3 linked regions of the Macaca fascicularis genome follow. The protein of the gene in region 2 purifies or fractionates together with the protein of the main gene of each other region. This does not show direct contact. Links are inferred from orthologs where the notes say so. Each region holds a gene or a part of one and is shown on either strand. Other genes may lie near its edges.

What was found. The genes of interacting proteins can lie anywhere in the genome.
Region 1: the proteins of PEX19 (region 2) and NAT14 purify together in Homo sapiens (co-immunoprecipitation; 3 studies listed by BioGRID and IntAct, counting the BioPlex papers as one, with this or other methods). This does not show direct contact. The link is inferred for Macaca fascicularis from reciprocal best matches to the Homo sapiens genes PEX19 and NAT14.
Region 3: the proteins of PEX19 (region 2) and PXMP2 purify together in Homo sapiens (affinity purification with mass spectrometry; 3 studies listed by BioGRID and IntAct, counting the BioPlex papers as one, with this or other methods). This does not show direct contact. The link is inferred for Macaca fascicularis from reciprocal best matches to the Homo sapiens genes PEX19 and PXMP2.

What each region holds. Positions count from the first base shown.
Region 1 is NC_088393.1:63,432,318-63,438,210, reverse strand, and holds NAT14 (probable N-acetyltransferase 14), read right to left. Parts: upstream 4,094-5,893; 5' UTR 4,046-4,093; intron 3,646-4,045; 5' UTR 3,598-3,645; coding exon 3,526-3,597; intron 2,876-3,525; coding exon 2,327-2,875; 3' UTR 1,718-2,326; downstream 1-1,717. Other genes in the region: soluble scavenger receptor cysteine-rich domain-containing protein SSC5D, read right to left, coding at 694-718; ZNF628 (zinc finger protein 628), read right to left, coding at 4,895-5,893. UniProt on the Homo sapiens protein: Probable acetyltransferase. May act as a transcription factor that regulates the expression of coproporphyrinogen oxidase by binding to a promoter regulatory element.
Region 2 is NC_088375.1:100,772,951-100,778,849, forward strand, and holds the start of PEX19 (peroxisomal biogenesis factor 19), read left to right. Parts: upstream 1-2,516; 5' UTR 2,517-2,528; coding exon 2,529-2,598; intron 2,599-4,013; coding exon 4,014-4,123; intron 4,124-4,543; coding exon 4,544-4,709; intron 4,710-5,467; coding exon 5,468-5,553; intron 5,554-5,766; coding exon 5,767-5,899. UniProt on the Homo sapiens protein: Necessary for early peroxisomal biogenesis. Acts both as a cytosolic chaperone and as an import receptor for peroxisomal membrane proteins (PMPs).
Region 3 is NC_088385.1:139,800,538-139,806,497, forward strand, and holds the start of PXMP2 (peroxisomal membrane protein 2), read left to right. Parts: upstream 1-1,867; 5' UTR 1,868-2,016; coding exon 2,017-2,138; intron 2,139-4,069; coding exon 4,070-4,183; intron 4,184-5,960. Other genes in the region: POLE (DNA polymerase epsilon catalytic subunit A), read right to left, coding at 1,601-1,662. UniProt on the Homo sapiens protein: Seems to be involved in pore-forming activity and may contribute to the unspecific permeability of the peroxisomal membrane.

The DNA.
Region 1 (5,893 bases), on a different chromosome or scaffold from region 2:
ACAGAGTCCTCACACACGCGTGCACGCACACACACGCACACATGCACGCGCGCACACACGCGCACACACGCGTACGCGCACACACACAGTCCTCACGCACGTGCGCACACACGCGCACGCACACACACGCGCGCACACAGTCCTCACACGCGCGTGCACACACACGCATACGCGCACACACACGCACACACACGCGTGCACACACACGCGCGCATGCACACACACGCACACACGCACACAGAGTCCTCACACACGCGCGTGCGCACACACGCACACACACAGAGTCCTCATACCTCTGAACCAGAAACCCCGCTGCTGGGAGGCAGGACTCTGGACAGAGGGGCGGGCTGAGGCACAGGTCTCTGAGGCGGGTGGGGCTGCCGATGCCGGGTCCCTGAAGTCAGGGCTGGGGACCCCGGCTTTGGTACTCTCACATGGGCTTGGCTAAAGGTCAGGTGTCCGGGACATCCCCTGCAGGGTCAGGGCTGGGGGGCGGGCAGGGGGCAGGTCCCTTGGGCTTCTGGGCTCGCAGAAGGCTGAGCAGATCAGGCGGGGATCCTTAGAAGGGATGTCAGGGTGTGCAGGAGCACCAGGGACCAGTCCCGGAAGTTTGAATCTCTAAACTGGATAAGCTAAGGGGTCAGAGGTGGGGGCCTAGGCCCCCTGAGTCCCCAAGGAGAATGGATCACTCACCAAGGAGGCAGGCCAAGACCCTCATGGTTGCAGCCAGGGCAGGGGATGGGGTGAAAGGGGAAGGAGAGCGGGAGAGAAGAGGAGGAGGCAGCTGGGGAGAGAGGGAGGGAGGGAAGCGCCTGCCGGAGGCGCCCAGGCCCGAGGAGAAGCAGGCAGGGCTGGACACTTTGCCAGGAGAAAGAAAGAGGCTGCAGGGAGGCGGCAGGGGACAGGGGGGGCGGGAGGGGGCTGGCCGGCGGCTCAGGCATGGGGGGGAGGGGGGTGGCGGGCGGGAGGGAGGGTGTCCAACTGCAGACACCCACACGGGAGACGGAGACGACGGCCAGGCGTGCTGCAGCCAGCGAAGTGCTGTGCTCAGAGATGCTCAGGGGGTGGCTGGCTGCAGGAAGGCGCAGGACAGGGGCTGGGGGACGTGTGCGTGGGGGTGCAGCACGAGCAGGAGAGGGCGCCCACCTGTCTTCTCTCTTGTCTGGTCAGGGAAATCCACTGAGACTGCTGCTAGGGTTGGGGCTTGGGCAGACCCAGGGGCTCTTGGTGCAGCAGCAAGAAGATTTGCAGCCAGACACCAGGAGGGACTTCCTGGGTTAGGAAAAGAGACTGAAAGACCCGTCCCTCCAGTCCTCCCCGTCACTGGTGGATCTGAGTGTGAAGCCCGCAGTCCCCAGCTGAGAGAGGAGAGTTTGAACTTCACCGTCCCAGAGGGAGCTGGGGTCGGGGGATAAGCAGCACGAGGGTCAAGGCTTGGGAAGGGGAGGGGCTCCACACACTCCTCCACACACTCACACACACCCCACTCCCTGCACACCAGGCAGCTGTGAGGTGGAAAAAATTCGGTAATAGGGAGCGTGACTCAGAAGGGCTGGCAGGGCCCAGGGCTGCCCCTGAGCTCACAGCCTCCCCTTCTCCCGGTCCAGCACCGCCCCCCAACAATTAACGTTAACTGGGGAAAGGAGGAGCCAGACAGAAATGGGCGGGGGGTGTCCGGAGACAGACTGGGAAAGGCATCAGAGATGAGACAGGCACACAGCGGTTCCAGGCTTTATTAACAAACGGTGGAAAAAACCAGATGGGTCTGGGGGAAGGGACAGGGCTGCCCATCTCAGCTCTCGACCGACCTTCCCGGAGAGGGGCCAGGCCTGGCAGCCCTGTGCGCCGCGCCCGCTAAGCAGTCAACCTTGTCCCCTCCAAGCACAGGCATCTGACCCAATCTGGGTCCCAGGGAGGCGGAGTCGCAAACCCTAACTCGAGGGCATATTCTGCTGGGCCTCCTCTCCCCCTCCCCAGATAGCTCTCCCAGGCTTGGGGCACAGACTTTGCAGACATCCACCGGGGAGATTTCTCAGTGCAGACAGAGCTGAGGTAGGGGTTTTGGAGAGGCTGACCTCGAGAGGCCCCTGAGGGCCAGGAAGGAAAAGGAGTCATTTCACTCTTAGAAGCTCAAACACTCCAGACCTCACACTGCCGACTGCCGGGCACAGGCCAGGCTCCTCCCCTCGGCAGGCCTCTGTTTCTGGGCCCTGGGTGGCTGAGGACTCACCGAGGGAGAGCACGTAAAAGTACCTGCACACAGTAGGCGCTCTTCAGGTGCTGGCGCCCCTCCCTCCTTCCCTGCCCTGGCTGTCAGCCTGTAGCCTCACAGGTCTTTGCTGAATTCCCTCACCAGCGTGTAGCCCAGGCAGCCCCAGCCCCCCTCGGCCTGGTAGCCGCAGCCCTCCAGCATCCCCGCCACTCCCCAGGCAGCCACAGCCACGGGGACCACGAGCCGGGCCTGGGGCTCCCCCATGCCCCCAGCCCAGGCCCGAGCCCGGGCCTCCGCGAAGGCCAGCAGCCTCCTGCCCACGCCCCGGCGGCGGTGCCAGCGAGAGACAGACAGGCGGGTGACCCGGGCCCCGTCCCCCGCGTTCGTGCCAGGGGCCAGGGCCAGGACCCCACACACGTCACCGGAGCCCCGCACGGCCACCCAGGGCCCCCCCAGGCCACCCGGTGGAGGCAGTGAGCCCCATCGGGCCCGCAGGCCCAGCTTCACCGCAGTCACAGCCAGGAACACCGGCAGGAGGAGGGCCAGGGCGAAGGAGGCCAGGACAAAGCGCAGGCCGCTGCTGGCCGCCGCCAGGAGGAGCAGGGCCGGCGGCCGTGTCAAGGCATGGAGGGCCACGCGGTTTTCCGTGTCCTTCACGCCGGCCTGTGGGCAGGAGGGGTGGCTCAGCCATCCAAAACACTAGGGCCTCCTAGAGAGAGGTAGACCCTGCCCGGGGTGGGGCGAGGGCTCCCAAATGGGAAGGGAAAGCAGCACAGTCCCATGGTCACCAGTGTGGCACGCTGGGTGTGGAGTGAATGAACGAGAGTGAATGATGGATGGAAGAATGAATCAGGAGCTGTGGGGGCACTCAATTCAGTAGCAATGCCGCAGTGAGGCGCCAGGAAAGTAGGGACAGGGAGCCTGCCTCAGGCTGGAGTGGAGGCTGGAGGGGGGCTGCTAGGCTAGACTGGGGGGCTGGCTATGCTTTGAAGAGCTGGGGTCGGAGGCACAGAGCTGGCTGTTGCGCTGGAGTGCCGGGCCCTCTGGAGATGCGAGACTAGGAAGGGCGTTAGTGCTGCGGTCCCAGTAGGGCTGGGGGGTGAGCCCCCGGCTGCCACACGTGCTGCAGCTTTCAGCAGCACCTCCAGCTGCTGAACACCTTCCCGGCCCCCAGGGCGGCTGAGGACCAGGAAGAAAAGATCCCGCTCCGGGGGTTCAGGCTGGCTCAGGTGGGTGGGAGGGGGTGGCTGAATCCACTTGCAATGCCCCCGCTTCCAGCCACTCCCAGGCCCCCTGGGGCCCCTGCCTCTCACCTTCAGCATCTCCAGCACCAGGGGCTTCTCATCCTCCCTCATCTCCCGCACTGACAGGTGGCTGGGGGCCATGGCAGCCCCCAGGCCCCCGCCCCCAAGAAGGGAGCTGGCGTCGTGCACCTGGTGAGAACACAAGCAGGTCAGCGCCAGGGGGGCACCTCTGTCCCCAAAGCCCCCCGAGGGGTGGGTAGCAGCAGCAGCAGCACTTCCCCGATCAGGACAATGAGAGCCCTCGGGACCCACAAGCGAGGCTCTGGGCAGGACAGGCGCCCCCCACAATACTCAGCGACCTTGCTAGTCTCCAGGACCCCCCTCCCCCGTATTACTCAGCGATCTACACTCCTAAACACGCTGTGGACGCCCACACTTTGCAGCACGGGGCTCCCTCCCAGGCACGGGGCCACGAGCCCCCTCCCCACATGCCGGAGAACGGACCACGCTCGCTCCGCCCCGGTCCCCAGCGCCCCCTCCCCCACAGTCGTCCCCGTCCCGCGCCACAAGAACAAGGACCCGCAAGCACCTGCACGGGTCGCCTTTGGTCCTTTGACAGGGTTTCGGGAGCGGGTCTGGAGGGGGTCGTCGGCGGAAGTGACGTCAGACCGCGCGCGCTGGGGGCGGGGCGTTGCCCGCTGCGGGTCGTAGCAACCGTTGCTAAGCTCCCGGGAGGGCGGGCGGGGAGCAGTGACCCTGCGGCTGGCCGGGAGGTGACCTCTCCTATCCCTAGAGAAGGAGCAACGGGGAAAGGGGACCCGGGGAAAAAGGGCAGCGGGCGCCGGCAGGAGACGGGCGGCGGGCTGGGGACCAGCGCGAGCTCCCGCCCCACGTTCCCTCGTTGCTGAGCAACCTGAGCGCGGGGCAGCGATGCCCGCGGGTGGATTCTCATGGGTGCCGCGCTCAGCATCCCCCAGCCCAGCGGCACCCCACCCCCCCATCCCCAGGGACCCCATTCCCCCCACGGGGCGCCCGGGCTCGCAGGGCCCTCCCGCATAAGGATCCCCCTATTTCTCAGACGAGGGGTGCAGCAGGGCGACCTACAGTGAACAAGTGGCGCTCCCTGGAGTCAGATGTCACCACCTCCCCACTGTAATGACCCCTGCGTCTTTTGGTTTCAGGACAGGGGAACTGAGCCCCACGTAGTGGCTGGCCCCAGGACGCTGACCCAGGACGCACGAGTTAAGACTCCACGCTCCCAGGCGGGGGCTAGGACCATGACTTTCCCCCTCCGCTCCCCTCAGGAAAACAGAACACAGGCGGGGAGACTCGGGTCTTTATTAGGCAAGGCCAGCCTGCAGCACCCCGCCCCGCCCCGCCCCGGCTGGCAGTGAGTCGGGGTCTCTGTGTGGGGCGGGAGGGGAATCACTGGCTCTCCTCAAAACGTGTGCACCAGCTGGACTGCGGGTAGAGTCTGGACAATCTGGATGGAGGGCAGGCCCTGCGGGGTCATAACACCAGGCCCAGCTCCTGCGGGGACCACTTGTACCATCTGGGAGGCTGGAGCCGCGGGAAGCCCCGCGGGGCCCGAGGCTGGGCCTGAGGGCGGTGGGGCCAGGAGCTGCAGCGTGGCGGCGCCTCCTCCAGTGCTGCTGCTGTCCAGCAACTCAGTGGCTGGGGCGCTGCGGATGATGAGGAGTTTCTGTCCGGGTGGGCCGGTGGCAGGCGGCTCGGTCAGCCCAGGGGAAAGGGTTTCTACCTCCTGTACGCAGAGCTGGGTCTGCTCGCCATCGGCCCCGCTCAGCACTAGCACGCTCTGCAAGCCCTCGTCCGTCTGGAGTGTCTCAAAGAGGACATCCTGGACCACACCGGTGCTGGCCTCACCATCCCCCGCCTCCCCGGGGCCGGGGCCCGTGAGCAACTCCTCAGCTGCTCCGCTCTGAACAACCAGCAGGTTGGGCGCCTCAGTAGCCACAGCTCCCCCACTGGAATTGGAAAGCTGGCCGGCCACAGGCTGGAGCTGGACCGTGGTCACCTCCTGTGCTGGCTGGAGCTGGACCGTGGTTACTTCCTGTGCTGGCTGAAGCTGGACCGTGGTCACCTCCTGTGCTGGCTGGAGCTGGACCGTGGTTACTTCTGGGGCTGGCCGGAGGGACTGGAGCTGCACCCCACTCACTTCCTGTGGCCCTGCCTCCCCACCCCCCACATTCTGCAGAACGATGAGGCTCTGCGCTGCCCCGCTGGCCCCTGCGCTGGCCGCTCCCTGCACCCCTAGACCCCCAGGGCCTGGCAGCCAGACCACTCCCGCCCCCTGGCTGGCTTTCCCCACTGCCCGCGGGCCCTGCCTTGCACGGCCGCTCCCAGCCCCAGCACTGGAGGAGGGCAGCAGGATGAGCTTGGGAGGTGCAGGAGGGGGCGGAGGTGTAGGGGGTTGCAC
Region 2 (5,899 bases):
TAATTGTGAATCCCAGGCAAGAATTAGAATTTGATAAACTGGAGAGCCATTAAATCTTTAAGGACAGAGTGATATGAAAGTACTATAAAATACTGTTATTCAACAGTATTCGCTATACATTAGAAAGGCAGAAGGAGCAGTCAGTAGTAGGTCAGTAAATACTGAGATGAGATGTTAGGAGTATTAGTAGTAAAAATAGAAAAGCAGAAACAAGTTTAAGAAATAATGCAAAGAAAGAGTCATGCTTGTTTTTTACTCCATTTTAATTATCTATTATCTTTTAATTAACATGCTTATATTACATTAGTTTAAAGCCAATTGACTAGGTGTAGTGGCTCACATCTGTAATTCCAGTACTTTGAGAGGCCAAGGTGGACATATCACTTGAGGTCAGGAGTTAAAGACCAGCCTGGCCAACATGGTGAAACCCTGTCTCTACTAAAAATACAAAAATTAGCCGGGCATGGTGGCGCAAGCCTGTAGACCCAGCTACTCAGGTGGCTAAGACAGGAGAATCACTTGAACCCTGGAGATGGAGGCTGTAGTGAGCCAAAATTAAACCACTGCACTCCAGCCTGGGTGACAGTGAAACTCGTCTCAAAAAATAAAATAAAGCCAATAGAGATGCCTGTTGATAGACAAGTTTTCTTTTTTTTTAACGTGTTTGTTATACCTATAGCCATATTGGAGATCCACATGTAAGCAATTTGAATGAGAAACCCTGGAATAAATTATGTTGCAGGTATTGGGGAAACAAGTTTATCAGGAAAGGATTTGATTACAGAAGTTTAGAATTGTAAAGGACTTAGAAAGTGATTTAGTGGCAGAATTAGGGCTGGAATTTAGGCTTTATAACTTACAGTTCATAATATTTTTATCCCAAAACACACTACTTGTGGTCAGAAGGAAACAGGTTTTGCACAGATACGATTTTACATGTCTGTGCCCTGTCTGTGAAAGACATAGTAAGTCTTTCTGGTGCTTGATGCAGTACTCAAATGTGTGTTTGGGAAGCTAAGCATGAAAGTGATGAGGTGACTTAACACAGGAATTTTTTTCATTTAAAATTCTTACCTTGTGTCATACTTACTGTGTGTATATCTCATCATACCTGCGGCTCACCTCCACTTAGCTACCTTACAGCAGGGGGTGGTCCTGATTTATCTCTTTGTCCTTGCTGTGCCCAGAACAAGACCTAAATAATAGGTGCTCTCCAAGTGCTAAAACAGATCTGTATGTGAAACAGTTGCTACATTCTTACAGATCTGAATAGAACAATTCCAAAGGAGGAAAGGGACGTCTAGAGTTACCTCTATCTGAGCATCCCCGGTGTTCACTCAGTTGGAGGTTGGGTTCTGTGTGGAGAAAAGGAGATTGGTCAGGGAAAGCAAGTCTATTACTAACTACTACATTCTAATTGCCCTGCTCAGTCCAAGGTCCCAGATGCTCTCTTTCTAACATTGAGTTCTAAGTTCCTGGCCCTGTGTCCTTTAATCAAACAGTTCTAATAGAGAATAGGAAATGAGAGATGCCACTAGATTGGGCAGACAGATGTGCCTGATTAGGGACTGCAAGAGCAAAGAGTGGCCAATGAGTGCCTACTAAGTTTTAAACCCTAGCCTAGGAGTTGGGCTTTACAGCAGCGAAGACAACAGACGAAAATCTTCGCCTTCATAGTGTTTAAATTCTGCACGGTGGGGAGCGGAGAATAAACAAGCACGGTAGATAATATGTCAGATAGTGTTCAGTGTTAAGAAGAAAAGGAATGGCCAAGTAAAGTGTTTCAGAGAAGATAACATTTGAATGAAATAATGAAGTGAAGCCGGGCGCAGTGGCTCACGCCTGTAATCCCCAGCACTTTGGGAGGCTGAGGTGGGTGGATCACCTGAGGTCAGTAGTTCGAGACCAGCCTGGCTACCCAGACTGGCCAACAAGGTAAAACCCCGTCTCTACTAAAAATACAAAAATTAGCCTGATGTGGTGGTGCATGCCTGTAATCCCAGCTACACGGGAGGCTGAGGCAGGAGAATCGCTTGAACCCAGGAGGCCAAGGCTGCAGTGAGCCAAGATAGCGCCACTGCATTCCAGCCTAGGCGACAGAGCGAGACTCCGTCTCAACAAAAGAAGTGAGAGAAAGTAGTATGTTATGTACCATAATTGTCATATCAATCATATATGTATAGATTCTGGTTATTTGTAGGCAGTTTGTCTCAATCTAGCCTACTCATAGCTCAGGAAGAAATAATGAAAGAGCTTCGCCAGGTAATTTGGGAAGTTGAAAGGAGTCCGGGCCTCTAAAACCAGGCAGAAAATAACACTATCTTATCCTTAATTCTGTGTTTCACAGGCGAAAGGGGAAAAATACCCAAAACAGAAACTCAAAGCTTCCTGGCCCTTTAAAAATGGCGGTTCCGCACTGGCCAACAATACCATTGGTTGCCCGAGGCAGAAGAGGGCAGGAACGAAGGGGTGGAGGGCGTGGCGGCGCCGAGGGGTCCCGCCTCCTACGGCAAGTCGGAGGTAGCAAGATGGCGGCCGCTGAGGAAGACTGTGGTGTCGGGGCAGAAGCAGACAGGGAATTGGAGGAGCTTCTGGAAAGTAAGAGCCCATAGTGGGAAAGGCCCGAAGAGGGCAGTTGTGAGGACCCATTCCGGGCGTTAAGTGAACCTGAGGTATTAGGGACAGGGCGGGAGAGGATCTCCAAAGGTTAAATGGGGGCGGAGAGTCTGACCGCCAGCCCCCCAAAAAATCTCTGGGTCATCCTGCCCCACCTCCGCGACTGGAGCTGGGGAACTCACCTGGGGTCCCCCAGTGGTCCAGATTGTGGATGTTTCCGCAGGACGGCGTTTCATGATACCTCTCCAAACTCCTCTTTCTTTAGGTTACTAAGTTCTTAAAGTCCGACTTCAGCAGCAGCAGCAGCAGCATTTGGTTCTTGTTGGGTAGCGAACCACGCACTCACTGATTGCTTACATTAACTCCTAGCAAGCTCGTGGCCCATGCTGCTGCGCCTCGTCCTGCCTTCCTTGACATGAAAGACACTTTTCTCCTCGTAGTCCTTTTCTCTTTCTCTCGTTAGGCCCCTTAACAGTTCTTTCATCTTGTTAGTAGCTCAAGCGGACTCCTTTCCCTTATTTTGAGAAACTGAGGATGTGGCGATTTCAGGGGAAAGCAGTTCACCCTCCTGAAAGACGGTGGATGTTTTCTTAGCATTACTGTCCACTCCCCTGTTGGCTTCCTGCCCAGAGTGGGGCCAGTGCTCTCTCCCTGGGCCTGGCAAGCAGAATGGTGGTGAGGACACAGGCTTTTCAGGGCAGAGGTGAATTTGTAATCTCTTGCTCGATCACAGAGATGTGGGCAGGCAGAAGAATGAACAGAAACGCTGAGGAGTGCCAAGTGACTGTAAATTAGCCTACGGTTATCTGCAAAGATCAGACCAAAAGGAGCTCTAGGAGGTTGTGGGAGAGCACTAAACTGGAGAATAAGAGAAGATAGTTTAATGCCTTACCATGGAATGTAGTATGTGGTCCCTCAGTCTGTGCTGGTACCAGTACCAACAAGAAGCTGGGTGGGATGTCATGTGCCTTCTCACCAAGTTATTCCTTTTAGAGCTCCAGAGTGAGTTCAGAGGGATGAGGACATCTGTGTTCTCTACTCCTGTTGGGTATTTATTTGTATGGGATTTCTAGGGAATCATTAGGTTGTGGCAAGGGAGACACTATAGATGGAGATGTCTCTGCAGAAATTTTTAATCCTCTCCTCCCAGCTCTGAGATGGATACTTGTTCCACCGTAAGGGATTTCTTGCCTTTGCTCACAATAAATTAGGTAATCTGGAAGGAAGTAGGAGGCTCATTGAGGGTGGTCTGGGGAGGTGGGGGCCTCAAGGCGGAAAATTGAGGAAAGTTGGCAATTTGAAAAATCATATTCGTAATGCTTTGCCCAGAAACCACCCAGCCTTGCTTGCATCCTCATCTGTCGCCAACACACACACCATGTCTCTTGTCTCTGAAGGTGCTCTTGATGATTTCGATAAAGCCAAACCCTCCCCAGCACCCCCTTCTACCACCACGGCCCCTGATGCTTCGGGGCCCCAGAAGAGATCGCCAGGAGACACTGCCAAAGTATAAATTCCACCCCCTGAAGGGATGGGGAGGGGATGGGCATGCAGCTCTGAGCAGAGGTTGGGCAGGCCCCTATGGGCCAGAGGGGAATGGGGGAGGGTACCTTGGCCTCACATTGGTGAGTGCTCTTGCCAGCCTCAGTCCTTGTGAAATAAGGACTTGAGGTTGAGTGGAGGAATCTCAGAGTTCCTTGAAAAAATAGTAGGTTTAAATGGTTGGATTGGTATGCCATCCCATACCCTCTTTCAAAGACTAGATACCTTTTTTGCTATTCTCATTAGGAGCAGTAGTTAGAGTGTCCAGTGGAAGTGGGTAGGAGGGAAGTGCATTTCCCATAGCTACTGCCTGTGGCTTCTATCAGAGGCCAGGTGCAGTGTAGTTCTAAGTAAGAGATGCATTTCAGCCACCCTTCCCCCGCAGGATGCCCTCTTCGCTTCCCAAGAGAAGTTTTTCCAGGAACTATTCGACAGTGAACTGGCTTCTCAAGCCACTGCAGAGTTCGAGAAGGCAATGAAGGAGTTGGCTGAGGAAGAGCCCCACCTGGTGGAGCAGTTCCAAAAGCTCTCGGAGGCTGCGGGGAGAGTGGGTGAGGAGACCTTAGATACATGGAAATATCTGAACAGATTCTTAAGTCTTTGTTGCCTGAAAACACCAGAATTCTTAGTGAAGTTGATAGTAATCATGATGTCACAGCCATGGAATGGGTAAAGGCAATGAGAGAAGGGGTGGAAATCCCTCTTTTTTTTTTTTTTTTTTTTTTTTTTTGAGACGGAGTCTCGCTGTGTCTCCCAGGCTGGAGTGCAGTGGCGTGATCTCGGCTCACTGCAAGCTCCGCCTCCCGGGTTCACGCCATTCTCCCGCCTCAGCCTCCCAAGTAGCTGAGACTACAGGCGCCCGCCACCACGCCCGGCTAGTTTTTTGTATTTTTAGTAGAGACGGGGTTTCACCATGTTAGCCAGGATGGTCTCGATCTCTTGACCTCGTGATCCACCCGCCTCGGCCTCCCAAAGTGCTGGGATTACAGGCTTGAGCCACCGCGCCCGGCCGAAAATCCCTCTTAATGAAAAGGGGCGAGATAGGTTAGAAAGTAATAGAAAAGATTATTCAAAACTGACCATTTGAAAGGTCACAGTGTTATTGTGGGTATCATCATGGAGAATAAACTGACATAGAGTCCGTGTATTAAATAGATGTATGAAAAGACTATCAGGATAACCGCAGTTTTCCCAGATGGGGAGTGATAATGATTCACTAGTAAATGCTTCATATCCAAGCTGGTAACCAGTTCAGTCTAGGCAAGGAAACAAATTCCTAAATGACGCTGGCTTTTTAAATCTCTCCTAGGCAGTGATATGACCTCCCAACAAGAATTCACTTCTTGCCTAAAGGAGACACTAAGTGGATTAGCCAAAAATGCCACTGACCTTCAGGTGAGGAGAAAGTAGTAGGGTCCCACAAGGGGTCCACTCTCAGACACTTCTGCAGCAGAGTCTCAAAAGACAGATGCTTTGAGTATCATCCCAAGTCTGTTCCTGTCTTGTTTTGTTACAGGCAAGTTTAGGTAGTTTATCTTTCCCACCTGACAGAGTGTGAGCATCCCAAGAAGGTGGTATACCTGCTCACCTCTTACTTGTCCTATCTAGAACTCTGGCATGTCGGATGAAGAGCTGACCAAGGCCATGGAGGGGCTAGGCATGGACGAAGGGGATGGGGAAGGGAACATCCTCCCCATCATGCAGAGTATTATGCAGAACCTACTCTCCAAGGATGTGCTGT
Region 3 (5,960 bases), on a different chromosome or scaffold from region 2:
CAGTGAACGTCTCTAAGCAACAAGTTCCAACACACAAGGTAGATACTAAGGGTACCTACCCTCTCCAGGGCTTGCCTGAGGACCAAATGGGACTATGGATAGACAGCGATTAGCACAACAGCAGTTAGGGATCCTTACTAGTCGGTTTCTCCTCTGGGAAGAATTTTGTTCAGCTAAGTGTCTGTAAAAAGCTTCGCGTTCTCACGTTTCCTTTTTCTTTCTTTCTTTTTTTTTTTTGAGACAGAGTTTCGTTCTTTGTTGCCCAGGTTGGAGAAAAAAGGCGCCATCTCGGCTCACCGCAACCTCTGCCTACTAGGTTCAACGGATTCTCCTGTCTCAGCCTCCTGAGTAGCTGTGATTACAGGCACGCGCCACCACACCCGGCTAATTTTGTATTTTTTTAGTGGAGCCGGGGTTTCTCCGTGTCGTCCAGGCTGGTGTCGAACTCCTGACCTCAGGTGATCCGCCTGCCTTGGCCTCCCAAAGTGCTGGGATTACAGGCGTGAGCCACCCCGCCGGGCCTCACACATTTTCTGCTTATGGCAGAAGGTCAGGTCTCTGGTCATGTTTACCGTTTGCTGTGGCCACCAAGTAGCCGCGTCTTACCCTTGTTCTATTTTTTTTGAGACAGGGTCTGGCTCCGTCGCCCAGGCTGGAGTGCGGAGGCCCGATTCTGGCTCACAGCAGCCTCGACCTGCCGGGCTCAGGTGAACCTCCGGCCTCGGACTCCGGAGTATTAATAGCTGGGACCTCAGGCGCGCACCACCAGCCCGGCTAATTTTTCTTGTTTTTACAAGAGAAGGGCCGGGCGCGGGGGCTCACGCCTGTTATCCCAGCACTTTGGGAGGCGGAGGCGGGCGGATGACCTGAGGTCAGGAGTTCGAGACCAGCCTGGCCAACATGGTGCAACCCCGTCTCTACCAAAAATACAAAAACTAGCCGGGCGCGGTGGCAGGCGCCTGCAGTCCCAGCTACTCGGGAGGCTGAGTGAGGCAGCGGGATCGCCTGAACCCGGGAAGCGGAGGTTGCAGTGAGCCGAGATCGCGCCACTGCACTCCAGCCTGGGCGACAGAGCGGGACTCCCTGTCCAAAAAAATAAAATAAATAGAGGAGAACGGGTCTCGCTCTGTGGCCCAGGCTGATCTGGAACAGGATCCTGGGCTCCAGCGATCTGCCCGCCTCGGTCTCTCCCAGCGCCGGGCCCCCAGGCACGGTCCCCGGCCCGGCCCCTCCCCGCACCCTCCCCGGCCACGCGTCCACCCCGCAGGGCCAGGCCCGGGTCCCGCCGCTCTCATCGCCCCCGCCGCGCGGCAGGCCCCAAACGCAGCTGCGCGCAAGGCGAGGCCCGAAAAACCTCAGGAAGAGCCGAGCAGGGGAAGGCCGCGCGGCCCGCCTCGTTTCCCCGCGGGAAGCCGCGCCCGTAGCGCCTCCGCCCGCCCCGGGCCCCTCGGTCGGCTGTCGGGGCGCGCAGCCCTACCCCTGTCAGGCGCGGCGAGTGCGGGGCCCGCGTCTCCCTCCCGCCTCGGCGGCGCCACCCAAGCCCGGCCCCATGGCATCCTCCGAAGGGCCGGCCCGAGGGCCTCAGGAGTGCGCCCCTCACCTGCTGGCTTCGCCGTCCGCGCCCGGGTCCGCGCGCCGCCGCCAGCCGCTCCTCAGGGCCATGGAGCCGCAGGCTACACCCTCTGTTTCGCGGGAGAAATTTGGCGCGCTCCTACCCAGTCTCGCGAGAGCCGTAAGTGCCGCCGTCCATCAAGAGGCGCGCCCCGCCCCTCGCCCGCCCCCCGAGACGCTCCAATAGGCGCCGGCGCCCTGCGGGGGAGGTGGCCGGCAGGGACCGGGGAAAAGTGTGCGGAGGCGCGCGCGCCGCACCGTGGGGTTGGGACCGGGCGGCGCTGCGGACCGCGGTGCGGCCGGAAATGTCAGGCCTTCCCCATTCCGCGCTCCGCGCCTCGGGCTCCGCGCCCGGCCTGCCTGAGGTGGGGTCGATGCCCCCGGCAGCGCGGCGCTGGGGAGGCGATGGCGCCGGCCGCGTCCAGGCTGCGGGCCGAAGCCGGGCTCGGGGCGCTCCCGCGGCGGGCGCTCGCCCAGTACCTGCTTTTCCTGCGGCTCTACCCGGTGCTCACCAAGGCGGCCACCAGGTGAGCGGGGGCGCGGCCGGTGCGGGAATCGGACGCCGCCCCGGCCCCAGGTCGGCCGCAGTGGCGCGGGGCCTGGACAGGAGCGCGGGGCCGGGACCAGTCTGGGGGCGCGCCCGGGTCAGAGCCCCCGCAGCGGGCGCCCTCCGAGCCGGTGCTGAACTTCCCGCGGCGACACCCGCGTCCCCAGTCAGCGATTGTGAGGCGCCTCGCGGATCCCGCCCTCCCAGCGCGTGGAGGGCCCGCCCGGACCCCGGGGGCTCGGCGCTGAGGTTCCACCCAAGGACCCGACAGGGGCGCCGCGCACCCGGGGAAGCCACGGCCAGGGGAGCGCGTCCTCACGGCGCGGGTGCAGACAGGGCCGAGGGAGCGGGTCTGCGGGGCGCGGGTGAAGACACGGCCAGGGAGCGGGTCCGCATGGCGCGGGTGGAGACACGGCCAGGGAGCGGGTCCGCATGGCGCGGGTGGAGACACGGCCAGGGAGCGGGTCCGCATGGCGCGGGTGGAGACACGGCCAGGGAGCGGGTCCGCATGGCGCGGGTGGAGACACGGCCAGGGAGCGGGTCCGCATGGCGCGGGTGGAGACACGGCCAGGGAGCGGGTCCGCATGGCGCGGGTGGAGACAGGGCCAAGGGAGCGGGTCTGGGGGACTCGGGTCCGCACGGCGCGGGTGGAGACATGGCCAGGGAAGGTATTTTTTGAGAAGGTGACATTGAACAGGCTGTGTAAAGAAGTGGAGCAGAGGCTCTCCTGGCACAGGGAACAGCAGGGCAAAGGTCCCTGTTAGGTTTTGAAGGGAAGGCCGGCGTTAAAGAAAGGCTGGGAGAGGTGCAGCTTGGACTCAGTCCCGAGGGAGGGAAGATCTGTGTGTGGAGAACGTGAACCCTGAGCAAGAGGCAGGAGATGTGAAGGGAATCGCCAGGGATCTGATCCAGAAGGTGTCTAGGTCCGTGCTAGGAATTTTGGATTTTATAGTCCAGAGAGCTTCTCAGAAGGCAAATACAAACCAAGGCCTGGAGGGAGCCACTGGGCGTGTTCCACATTTTTATGGAAATTTTTATTGTGCTAATTGTAGATTCACAGTTACAAGACTAATATGGAGAGATCCCTTGTACACCTTCCCAGTGTCCCCCATTGGTTACATTCTGTGAAACTGCAGTGCAGTATCAACCAGGGCATGGCATGGACACAGTCCACAGATCCTATTCAGATTTCTCCATTTTTCTTGTAGTTGTATCTGTTCTGTACAGTTTTATCACATCTGTACGTTCACATGTTCACTACCACAGTCAAAATGCAGAACAGTGTCATGATAGGGCCGTCCTGTTGCCCTTTCATAACCACACAGCTTCCTTACTCCCAAACTGCAAAAGTTACAGTATAACATCACAGCCAGGAGGTTAACATTGATACTGGAAAGCCGCTTGTCCTTATCTATGTATGTAAGTCCACTGTCTCCACCTTTTTTTTTTTTTTTTTTTGAGACAGAGTCTCGCTCTGTCGCCCAGGCTGGAGTGCAGTGGTGCGATCTCCACTCACTGCAAGCTCCGCCTCCAGGGTTCACAACATTCTCCTGCCTCAGCCTCCCCAGTAGCTGGGACTACAGGCGCCCACCACCCTGCCTGGCTAATTTTTGTATTTTTAGTAGAGACGGGATTTCATCGTGTTAGCCAGGATGGAGTCGATCTCCTGACCTCGTGATCCGCCCACCTTGGCCTCCCACAGTGCTGGGATTACAGGTGTGAGCCGCCGAGCCCTGCAGTCTCCACCTTTTGATACAAGAACTATACATTGAGCCCCTTTAACAATAATTCCAACTCCCGCCGCTCCCGCATCTGCTGCATGGCCTCAGAACGGCCCTGCTCATTCACCTGTGGGAAGGGGACACCCTCCTGCTGGTCACTTCTGTTTTCTGATGACCTCCCTCTCCACAGTGGCATTTTGTCAGCACTTGGGAATTTCCTGGCCCAGATGATTGAGAAGAAGCGGAAAAAAGAACACTCTAGAAATCTAGATGTCGGTGGGCCTCTGAGATACGCTGTTTATGGGTGAGTGCCATACAAGGGGTGGGTTTACCCTGTAGCCGCTGAGTGCAACCAAGCTGGGCACCAAAACCAAGTAGTTGGAGTACTCTCATTTATAATATGATTTTTTAAAAAACATTGTAGTAATCATCATGGAAAAAAACTCGAATGGTTCATATAGTTTGTATGGCATATATACACGTATGTGGTTTTTCTGTTTTTTCTTTTTTTTTTTTGGAGACAGTCTCCCTCTGTCACACAGGCTTACTGCAACCTCTGCCTCCCCGGTTCAAGTGATTCTCCTGCCTCAGCCTCTGGAATAGCTGGGATTATAGCCATGCACTACCATGCCCAGCTAATTTTTGTATTTTTAGTAGAGATGGGGTTTCACCATGTTGGCCAGGCTGGTCTTGAACTCCTGACCTCAAGTGATCCACCCACCTCGCCCTCCCAAAGTGCTGGAATTACAGCCTCATATTTGTGGTTTTATCATGTTTCTTTTTGATTGGATGGGTGGGGGCGACTGTCTTAATTGGGCTGAGAGGCAAACTTGAGGGCAAGTAACTCAACTTAAAGTCAGACTTCAGGATTCAAAAACCCTGAAAGCGTCCTCGACTGGGCTCATGGAATAGGAAAACTGACTCCAATATGACCAATTAGTTTTTATTGTTATTTTCATAGTGTAAATATCCAGAAAAGAAATGCTTAGGTACCCTCAAAAATGTCCAGTTTCTGAACCACATTCTGAATTACAAAAGCACAGTGATTCAAGAGTTTTACTAATTTAATCCACCCTGAGCTCTTGGCCAACAATAATGTTACAGATGGATTATTTGAAGTATTTTCCAACTACAGTGATTTTTTTTTTTTTAATTCAGAATTCATGAAGATCATTTTTATGCTTACAAGCTTGCTAACTTGAATCATCATGGATTTTTCCATAATGTATTTAAAGAAGTAATCCCCCAAGAGGGGCGGGTGACAAGATCACCTAGCAGGCCTCATCCAAGTACAGTTTTCCCATCCCCAGGACTTCAGTCCCCTTCCCCACTGAGAATCCCTGCATAGGCCCCATCCCCAGGACTTCAGTCCCCTTCTCCACTGAGAATCCCTGCATAGGCCACATAACACCCTGTGACCGAGTGGGAAAACACACTGAGAACCACTTATTTAAAGACTGTCAACGTCACAAGTTGAAAGACCCCACTTTTTATTGCCAAATTTTATGGAACTGCAAGGCCTCTTGTCCCAGTAGATGTGACAGCTGGTTCCATTCTCTCCCAAGCACACAGGGGAATGATTAGTAGCAATGCACGCAAGCCAGAGTGCAGCACCAGGTCCCGCCCTTGCCAGTTAGCCTAGCGAGTTTGATGAAAAGCTCTACAACCAGGGACATGTCTGATGATTCATTACTGAGCACCTTCTCAAAGCCAGGCCCTGTTCTGGGCACTGCAGTGGACAGAAGACGTAGCCTGCTTTGGGGAGCCTGCCTTCTAGGGGTGAAGAGAGGCACAGACTAACCTAACAGATGAGATAAGGACAGTGCTAGGCAGAAAAGGAACTAGGGCCTGGAATAAAGAGTGTTAGCACAGGCATGCATGCGTGCTGGGACAACCCGGAAGTTGACAGTATGAGGGGAGCGAGCCACCATGGCTAGGCGGGGAAGCGCTGGGCACCGATTCCACAGCCGGGGGAGCGAGCCACCATGGCTAAGCGGGGAAGTGCTGGGCACCGATTCCACAGCAGGGGGAGCGAGCCACCATGGCTAGGCGGGGAAGCGCTGGGCACCGATTCCACAGCA